2 linked regions of the Arabidopsis thaliana genome follow. The protein of the gene in region 2 interacts with the protein of the main gene of each other region in a pairwise test. Each region holds a gene or a part of one and is shown on either strand. Other genes may lie near its edges. The genes, in order: PGR5 and PGRL1B.

Region 1 (3,664 bases), on a different chromosome or scaffold from region 2:
TCCGTTGAAGTTGATGATCGAGGTAGACTCCGCTCACCACTGGACTGCTCATCCGGCTGTTTCTGAGCTGTAGATCTGCTCATCGCAGTCATCATATCAGCCAGATTCTTCATCGTCGCTTTGCTATGAGCTTCCATCATCGCCTCCAGCCTCGCCATCCTCTCCTCCATCGGATCCAAACCTTCCACCTCTTTTCCCTTCTCCTTCGACTCATCATGAAAACGTGTATGAACCATGACTCCAAGGAAAGACAGAGCTTTGATACCTTTGATACAAATAACTTTCCGGTTCACTGTAAAATCAATTCCGATTAAGAATAAATCCCTGATTACAATGAGCAATCGATGTTCATAAAACACCCAAGGATCTGCTAGTCTCGATGTGAGATATCTAGCTTAGAAAAGTTCTCAGAGATTCTAGATTTTACAGATTAATTGATAAAAGAGAAAGATGAGCTGAATATTGCTCATATAGAAGGGCCTAACGGCATGTTTGAGTCTGCCACTCCTCAGTCGACACGCGTCAGCCTCTTATTAATTCCTTCTTCCATTTGATTTCGCACGTGTGACCTCCCACGTGTGGTTCTGTAACATTACTCGTACCCAAATTTTCAACCTAATCAAGGTTAAGGCAACTGGCAACAAGTCAACCTCCTGGAAACCTTTGGGAACGAATGCTTAGCTAGCAGAAACAGAGTTTGTGTTAAAGAATGTCTAGGTAAAGTTCCATATATATCAAGTTTCCACGATGACAACTTTATTGACATATTATGCAATCTTACTTGGGTCTTGAAGTAATCAGTGTAAGCTCACGGTGTTAAAAAACTGCAGCTCTCAATACCTCTCCGATCTTAGGGATGCTTCAATAGAAAGCAAAACTTACAGTCTTTTTCAATCCCTTAATTGTTTGAGAGTTATGATTAGGCTTTTTAATCTGTTGAAAGAGTGGCAATATTACATATTTTGTATCTCTATGTGACTGAGAAAACTAGTTCAGCTAAGACCTTATTGAACAACTTTTCAGATGAGAATGGCAGCAGTTATGTGTGTTTGAGTAACCCTCAAAGGCAATGTAACAAAAATCAAGATTATAGGTTTGGACAAAATACATCTAGACAAGAACAACAAGAGGAGTTGTGAGTGTATATATCAGACACAAGCAGAGAGAAAGATTTGTTCTTTTTAAGACCTAAGCAAGGAAACCAAGCCTCTCTCCATTCTTCTTAGCAAGCCTGATAAGCCCTTGTCTCTGTTTTGCATCTGCTCCAATCGATTTGCAAAACTCAGTGATCACCTGAAAGAACAAAAGAACCCAGTTCCACAAAACTTTGCTTCTTTGACTAGTTCTTAAGAGAATGATTATAAGACAAGCAAACCTGAGAGTGTAAGGCAATGGCTTTTCCTCTGAGCTGATTAAACCTCTTCTTGCCTACTAGGTTGCGTGTGACAACAACTAGAGGTGCAAATAAGCCTTTGCCTTCATTGACATTCTTCATCATTGGAACTGCTCTGATTGCTTTCCTTGAGACTCTGGCTTGTTGCGGTGGCGCAACTGTCTTGGAGAGCATGGTTTGGTAATCTTCTCCGGAGATGGAACTTCCCCATCCTCCATAGAAGGAAGTTCCTATCAAAGTTTGATTACATCCTATTGCAGAAATCGAAGCAGCAGCCATAATCAATCAGCTTCTCCCTCTCTCTCTCGGTCTTTCTGATCGATGTTAATGGTAGAGAGGAAGAGAAATTGTGTGTGTGTGGTTGGATTTTGAGTTTAACATTTTGGTGTGGACAAGGTTTGGGTGTTGTTTTTGTTTGGATGGAGAAACCAGAGCCACAAATATGATTCTGGCTTTTTCGTTTTTTTGACTTAACTTATTACGTTTCTCATGTTGCGGGTTTATGATCCTCTGTATCACGTTTTATTATATCAACATTTCTCCACCGTCGGATTAAATATTCTCCTATCTCATTTTTTATTTTTTATTTTCAGTTGTTTTTGGCCTGGGCATTCGGTTTATTCGGGTAATCGGTTCGGTTTGGTTTAATCGGTTTTTTCGGTTCTTTAAAATTTTGTCAAATTAAACCGAATAAAGATTTGGTTCGGGTCGGTTTGGTTATAGGATTCAAAATCAACTCTGAACTAAACCGATTTTTTTTTTAGTTCGGTTAGTTTATACCGAATAAGTCCAAAATCAAGATAATGGGTCAAAACAAAAATTATAGAATGGGCGAAGATAAACAAAATTTTATAATTACAAACCAATAATTGGGCCAAAACGAAAAACAAACTTAAACCCAAAATAACTAAAAATCCAAACCTATTAAAAATTAGGGTTGATGGTATCTTGGTGCCGCTACCCTCTTCATAATCAGCAGATCTACGTCTGTGACGGTGACGGTGATAGCGAGGGATGACGATATCTCCGTAACGAAATATGCCCCGACGTGCTACCATAGTGAAAACCACATGCAGATAGAGAGAATTGACTAAATAGCCATGGATGAGGATCAAAAGGAAACGGAGAAGAAGCTAAAAAGATTAGATCTAATGTTTTTATCTTTATATTTATAGTATCTATTAACCGAGAAAACTGATCGGTTATGTCTGCCGAACCGAGAACCGAACTTCAATTATAATTTCGCCGATCGGTTTAGCCTTCCCTTCATAGTCGGTTATCAGAACCAAAAAAACGGTTTGTTCAGTTCGGTCATTGGGTTAATCCGAAATCCCAGGCCTAGTTTTTGCTGGATTGTACAGTAATAATCTGTAACAGATGATAATCTATTCTAGAGTGTGCACAAATTTACCTAAATCAAGTTGCTTTTGAAATCTAAATATTTATAGCTAAAGTTATCTCTGTTTTGTGTTCCTTAGAAGCAGAGATTGCAAGAGCTTAGAGATTTGACGGTCGAGCTAACTTTGAGAAGATAGAAATCGTAACGGTTCAACGACTAGTGAAATAGGCCGGGCCAATATTCAAGGAGGACACCAAGTGACCTCAACTATATATAGCGACTAAGTTTGAAATTAAGTGTAGCATAAAGCCAAATTAACACCATGAACGGAAGACCTTATCATGTTAATAACATAGCATGCAAGTTTCAAAAGCTTCGTCCAATGTCATGAAAACTAGAGACAAGCAGAGAAATAGACAGACTGTACATTGATAATCTGATGCATCCACATATTCCAAGCGCATTAGAAGAAGATCCCGAACGTGTTCTCACCACTGTAACTCATGTATAGAAACCCGTCTTCGTCTTTGTGCTCTTCATAAATTGCAGACATTATTGCCGCTGCAATAAAAGGATAACACTACTACTATTAGCTCAACTGAGAAAAAGATATGATTCCTTGAACTGGAAAAGTATATGATTAAGGAACGTGTTTGAAACTAACCAGTTGGTGGTAGAATGTTCTTGACAAAAATGAAGATGGCTTTCTCGGGACTGAGCTTGATCCGCTTCCGTACAACATAAACAAACTGGCCAACAGTCAAATCAGCTGGGACCAAGTACCTAAAGTTTTGAATAGTAAGTCAGCCAATTCATTATCCCTAAGCAACAAACCATGAAAACCAGAAATTCCTCCAGATCTTTCAATAAAAAAAAATTATTTCTATCCAATTAACCAATTCATTACTAAATGTGAGGGAGTGTAGGGTTCT
Region 2 (5,811 bases):
AATATATACTTTGGGTGCCTAAAAACTTAAAATCTTTGAAAATTTAAGCTATCCAATCAAAATAGTACATATTGAAGGGGTTGTATAATACTCAGTCCACAATTCATTTGGTTTTATTATATTATAGAAACAAAAATAATAATTAACCAAGATAGGAGAAAAAAAACTTTGAAAATAAAATAGAAAAGCAAAGAGTTCAAAGTAAACTCTAACCAAATTAAAAGATAAAAAAAGATATAAAAGCATTTTATATTTGGTTAGTTCACCAAATAAAATCTCAAATTCATCGAGTACATCCAAGATTTGGGGAGATTTATGTTGATTAGTCCATTTAAAGTAAAAAAAAAATGTTAGTCTATTCTGACAAACTATTAATGTTAGTAGATGAATAATCATGCTATGCATGAGTTGTTGTTTTGAAAATTGTTAAAAATATGTTGTATGTTCTTTGTTGCTAGTTTGTGTAGTTACATAAATATTTAGATTCATCTTATATAGTTACAATTTTTATGCTTTGATTCATCTTTTGACGTAAAATATCAAGTATATATTTTTCATGTGTAATATAATTATCTATATACATAAGATCTTAATCTTTTTTTTGCTATCATAAATACATAGAATAACAATATAAGATATATTGATATAATAGTTGTAATTATAATTGAGTTATACATTAGCATGATTTTGTATTTTTCAATTTTTTTGAAGAAATAAGTTAATAGTATTGATGGAAGATTTAATGATGTGGAGGACTTTTGATTTTCTTAACTTAATTTTGCTAAAATTTTTATTGAATAATATAAAAACACATGTAATTTTCTTGTATGATAATGTGACATTCATATGGAGAGAGTTAACCAACTTTCATATATATATTTTTTTCGATTCAAAGTAATTCTATGACATAAATTTTGTGAATTATTTGTGCATTATAAACTTAAAAATTTATTTGGTTATTTACATGGGACACCCGTGTATCGAAAAGTAGAGAGAAGATTGAACAAAAAAGCTAACAAACTTTATTTATCTCAACAAAATATTGTTACAAGCGTTAGTTAGAACTGTGTATCATTAAGCTTATATATATTTGAACTTAAGCTCACTTAATCAAAGTTAACCAAATATTAAACCAACATTAAACCAGCGAACCATACATCATAATACGCCTCTCTCAAGTCTTTATCTTCGAAGTGTCTGGTTTCCGAAGATAAAAACATCTTCTTGAGTAAATGATGAAATGACCCCGGATGTAGTGGCTTTGTGAAGTACAACTATCCACAATTTTCATTTATAATATCTAATGAGAGCATATCCGACAATGTTATAAACATTTTCTATCGATTTGTTAGTGGTTTACAAACCACCAATGACAATTTATTTCATGATAGATTCATTGTGTTTTAACTTATGGACAACCAGCATCACAATGATTGTTTTTGTCTATGGTTTGAGTCACAAGTCCGATTCATAATTGTTTGTAAATAAATATTTTTTTGTTGACTAATAAATATTATATTACAACTTTTTCTTGCAAATTACTAAAACTCAAGATTCTTTTTCATTTTTTCAAACATATATATATATATATATATATATATATATATATATTACAACAAAATTCTCTTATAAATTATTAAAATTCAAATTTTTTTATCGCAATTAGTTCCTTAAGAGAACTTATAAATAAATTAAGTCTTACATACAAAATATGTTTTCAAAAGAGTACAATGTGTTTGTTGGTTTTGCTTTCGTGCAATATCATGAAATATGTTTATGGTTTCTTAATTATTTATACCAATAGGTGATTCACCACATGATGATGCATATGTACAATTTATCTATTATAATGAGTTTACTATCTTGACTCCCACAAATCAAAACCCTTATTTTTCTTTACCGTTGTCCGTTGAGATGATAAAATAATAAACTAAAAATGATTGTACATATTTTTGTTATGATTTGAGTTAGAGTTTTTTTTTTTCGTTTATTTCAATTCTACGTAAAAAAAATTATATAAAGAATTCATTTTATTTGTGACTAATAATATCTAAATATTATAATACAATATTTGTTTTTGGTAATTTACCAAAATTCAAGATTTTATTCTTATTTTTTTCAAAATCATGACGTGGAACGCTAGACGATCCAACTTCGCTTATCTCCTCCTAATTTTCCCTCCAATTACACGTTGAAACAAAACAAAACAAAAAAATCAGAAGGAACCTGAAACTATCTCACACAGTAAAAAACATCACCATCTCAATTCTCAACCACACAAATCCAAAGCTTCTAACTTTTTTTTTTGTTCTTCGTCCCGGACAAGAGAAAACAACGATCTCACTCAATCATCGGCGTGAGGGATAAAGACGATGGCTTTTACTCTAACAATCCCTAGATTTTCTGCAATTTCTCGCAAACCCATCACTTGTTCTTCTTCGAGGACACAGTGTCCTGCTCCCTTTACCCATGGACGATCGATTTCTCTCAGACGAAGACTTACCTTATTGCCCCTTAAAGCTTCTACTGATCAATCAGGTCTCGATTTTTATTTGCCTCTTTAAAGTTTCGATTTTTTTATTTGTTTTTGCCTCTGATCTTTCTTTGGGAACGAAATTGGTGTGAAAAGTTGAGATTTTTATGATCATAGAAGATAATTAGATAAATGATTTCCAATTTGTAGCCTTTTTAGGATTAAAATTTGTGTGTAGCTTAAGGTTCTTAAGTTATTAACTCATCGTTATGTGATCGAAACAAAAAAGCACTCAATCTTCAAATTTAGTTGAGAAAAGCTGTTGTATTGTAGCTTTGATTTTGTCTCTGATCATTGTTTGGGAACACAGTGGCTTTTGAGAAAGTTTTGATTTTATTCAATCATAGAATAAAATCACTCAAGCTTTAATTCTAGTTAAGAAAAGTTGTTATATGGAACTTTTTTCCTCTGTGGATTTTTAGTTTTTATACTCTAATCCACTAAAAGATTGCTCCTTGAGAGTTTCCTTACTTCTTAAAATCATTTTTATGACTTGTCTTCAGGTCAGGTGGGTGGGGAAGAAGTTGATAGCAAGATTTTACCTTATTGTAGCATCAACAAGAATGAGAAGAGAACTATCGGTGAAATGGAACAAGAGTTCCTCCAAGCGATGCAAGTAACACATCAAATAAAGTGTTTTTATCATTAGTATGGGTTTATCTCTATATAATCGAGGATTGTTTCTGTTTCTTTTCTTTTGCAGTCGTTTTATTACGAAGGCAAAGCGATTATGTCTAATGAAGAGTTTGATAACCTTAAAGAAGAGTTGATGTGGGAAGGAAGCAGTGTTGTCATGCTAAGTAATGAACACTTATGATTTATAGTTTTGTCAATAATCCATTCGCCTAGGTTCTTGATTCTTGATCTAATTTTATCTATGTATTGTAGGTTCTGATGAACAAAGATTCCTTGAAGCTTCAATGGCTTATGTCTCTGGAAATCCAATCTTGAGTGATGAAGAGTATGATAAGCTCAAAATGAAACTAAAGGTTCTTAATCTATTTATACTTACAAATACTATTTCTTAGTTTCATCCATCTTGTTACATGTGTAATTTGGACAAACGTTATGATTGTTTCTTTGGTTTCTGTAGATGGACGGCAGTGAGATTGTGTGTGAGGGTCCAAGATGCAGTCTTCGTAGTAAAAAGGTAAAAACTCTTAATTGTTCGGATAGCTCATATATTCTTTGGACATTACAGAACATAACATTAGATTCATTGTTTGGGACAAACTCTAGAGATGTTATAGACTTGTGGACCTCCTTGATTATGCAGGTTTATAGTGATCTTGCCATTGATTACTTCAAAATGTTCTTGTTGAATGTACCAGCAACTGTTGTTGCTCTCGGACTGTGAGTACCTCCGGTTCTGTTCCTCTCTCAACTTTCAAATCACATGATCTTAGCTTATGTTAGTTAGTTTAAAATTGTTGTTTTCTTCAATTGTTCTCCAGATTTTTCTTTCTTGATGACATTACTGGTTTTGAAATCACGTACCTGCTCGAGGTAAAACCTCTTTCGACTATTCTACTATGGTTTGGAGAATATATACTCGTAGTAATTGTTCCAGTATTCATGCAACTGATTAAAAAACAAAAACAAAAATCTGCAGCTTCCGGAACCATTCAGTTTCATTTTCACATGGTTCGCTGCGGTGCCTGCAATTGTATATCTGGCGTTATCACTCACCAAACTGATCCTCAAAGACTTCTTGATCTTGAAGGTAAAAACATTAATCATCTTCCAAGATCAGTTCATGAAGTGGAAAAATAAAAGTTATAGAACTAAATCTTGTTTTCTCAGTATCAAAAATGCTTAAACAAGAGATTAGACTTGAGATAATAATCTATTTTGTGCTAAACGCTACAAATTTGGATTGGTATAGTGCCAAATCCTACGAGTTTTATGCGATTATTATGAAATGCTTTTAATTTTCGTGGAACATATCTTTCACAGGGCCCTTGCCCAAACTGTGGAACAGAGAATGTATCTTTCTTTGGAACGATACTATCCATCCCCAATGATAGTAACACCAACAATGTCAAATGCTCAGGGTAAGCTTCTCAGCTGTAGACTCGAATCGATCACACAAATTGTCTACAACGTTTCTTGAAGTCTTATGATTCTTCTGGTTTTTAGCTGTGGAACGGAGATGGTCTATGACTCAGGTTCTCGTTTGATCACATTACCAGAAGGAGGGAAAGCTTAAATCTAAGAGCCAAGGTTTAATTCTTATCTCAACTTTGATTTCTGATGAAATCTTTCTTGATTCAATGGAAAATTCAAAATTTTAGGGTTTTCTTTTTCTCAGGGTTATGTAGAAGTGTATGTAAAATTAATACTAACAAATGAAGAAGGTGGAGAAATTGAAGAAGAAGGAGAAAAACCAAAGTTTGTATGCTGTTTTGTATAATCTTCAGATCTTTTCATGTAGCTCTCATTGGCTTGTGTTGTGTTTGTAAGTAAGTGTGAGGCACATTCAAAGAAAAACATCATATGATTACTTCTTTGAGAAACTTTGCTCTCATTAGGAAAGTAAAATAATTCAAGAAATAAGCACAACCTTGTGTAGTTTTGAAATAATACTTGTATTTTTTTTGTTGTTATAATTTTGAATGTGTTCCATAATATAGTTTCGTTAATCCATGTGAAAATCAAATATGATGTTCTAAATCATTTATAGGTGCTAGTCAAGGCCAGTCCAAGACTTTTTGACTTTTGTGATTCTATAGTTCATTTTAGTATGATTTCTATTAAGAAGCTGATAGATAGATAAAAGTGGGGAACATGTAATAAGAGTTAAGGATTATTACAAAGGAAAAAGTCATACAAATATTATAGCATGCCAAATTCTATCTTTTTAATAAGAAAAAGGTGCAATGATGATGATGACATCGTCGTCGTCCCATGCCCTCTATATCATCATTTACCTTCCTTTTTTTTCTCACCGTTTAGACATTTCTAAATGTATCATTTTAGGATCGAAAGAATATAAGCAATTTACAAGACTACAAAGTGTGTATAAAGTAAAATGTCACGAGGCTAGAAGAAAGTAGGATAGTATTCTAAGCATTATAAAACATCGGTCATGCTTATTCATTATTATGTCTTAAGGATTAATAAAAGATACATAGTATATACTATATACTGATCATGTCTGTCCCCAAAACACATGCCAACAAAGTAAAACACAATCAATATACTTCTCTCTCTCTTTCTTCTTGATCACTTCTCTCTGCAAAACCTAACTACTTCTTCATTCATCTTAGAATCATTGG

What was found.
Region 1: the proteins of PGRL1B (region 2) and PGR5 interact in a two-hybrid assay, tested with the Arabidopsis thaliana proteins (one study listed by BioGRID).

What each region holds. Positions count from the first base shown.
Region 1 is NC_003071.7:2,080,016-2,083,679, forward strand, and holds PGR5 (proton gradient regulation 5), read right to left. Parts: upstream 1,845-3,664; 5' UTR 1,673-1,844; coding exon 1,376-1,672; intron 1,294-1,375; coding exon 1,189-1,293; 3' UTR 632-1,188; downstream 1-631. Other genes in the region: ATG8D (Ubiquitin-like superfamily protein), read right to left, coding at 3,196-3,293, 3,397-3,515. UniProt on the Arabidopsis thaliana protein: Critical for growth under fluctuating-light conditions. Involved in the regulation of the cyclic electron flow (CEF) around Photosystem I. Essential for the reduction of PGRL1A by ferredoxin and for photoprotection.
Region 2 is NC_003075.7:7,174,271-7,180,081, reverse strand, and holds PGRL1B (PGR5-like B), read left to right. Parts: upstream 1-2,193; 5' UTR 2,194-2,372; coding exon 2,373-2,538; intron 2,539-2,908; coding exon of another isoform or gene 2,909-2,954; intron 2,955-3,036; coding exon 3,037-3,149; intron 3,150-3,236; coding exon 3,237-3,333; intron 3,334-3,421; coding exon 3,422-3,522; intron 3,523-3,626; coding exon 3,627-3,683; intron 3,684-3,809; coding exon 3,810-3,886; intron 3,887-3,987; coding exon 3,988-4,039; intron 4,040-4,145; coding exon 4,146-4,256; intron 4,257-4,489; coding exon 4,490-4,587; intron 4,588-4,672; coding exon 4,673-4,742; 3' UTR 4,743-4,756; intron 4,757-4,844; 3' UTR 4,845-5,196; downstream 5,197-5,811. UniProt on the Arabidopsis thaliana protein: Ferredoxin-plastoquinone reductase involved in cyclic electron flow (CEF) around photosystem I. The homodimer is probably not involved in CEF.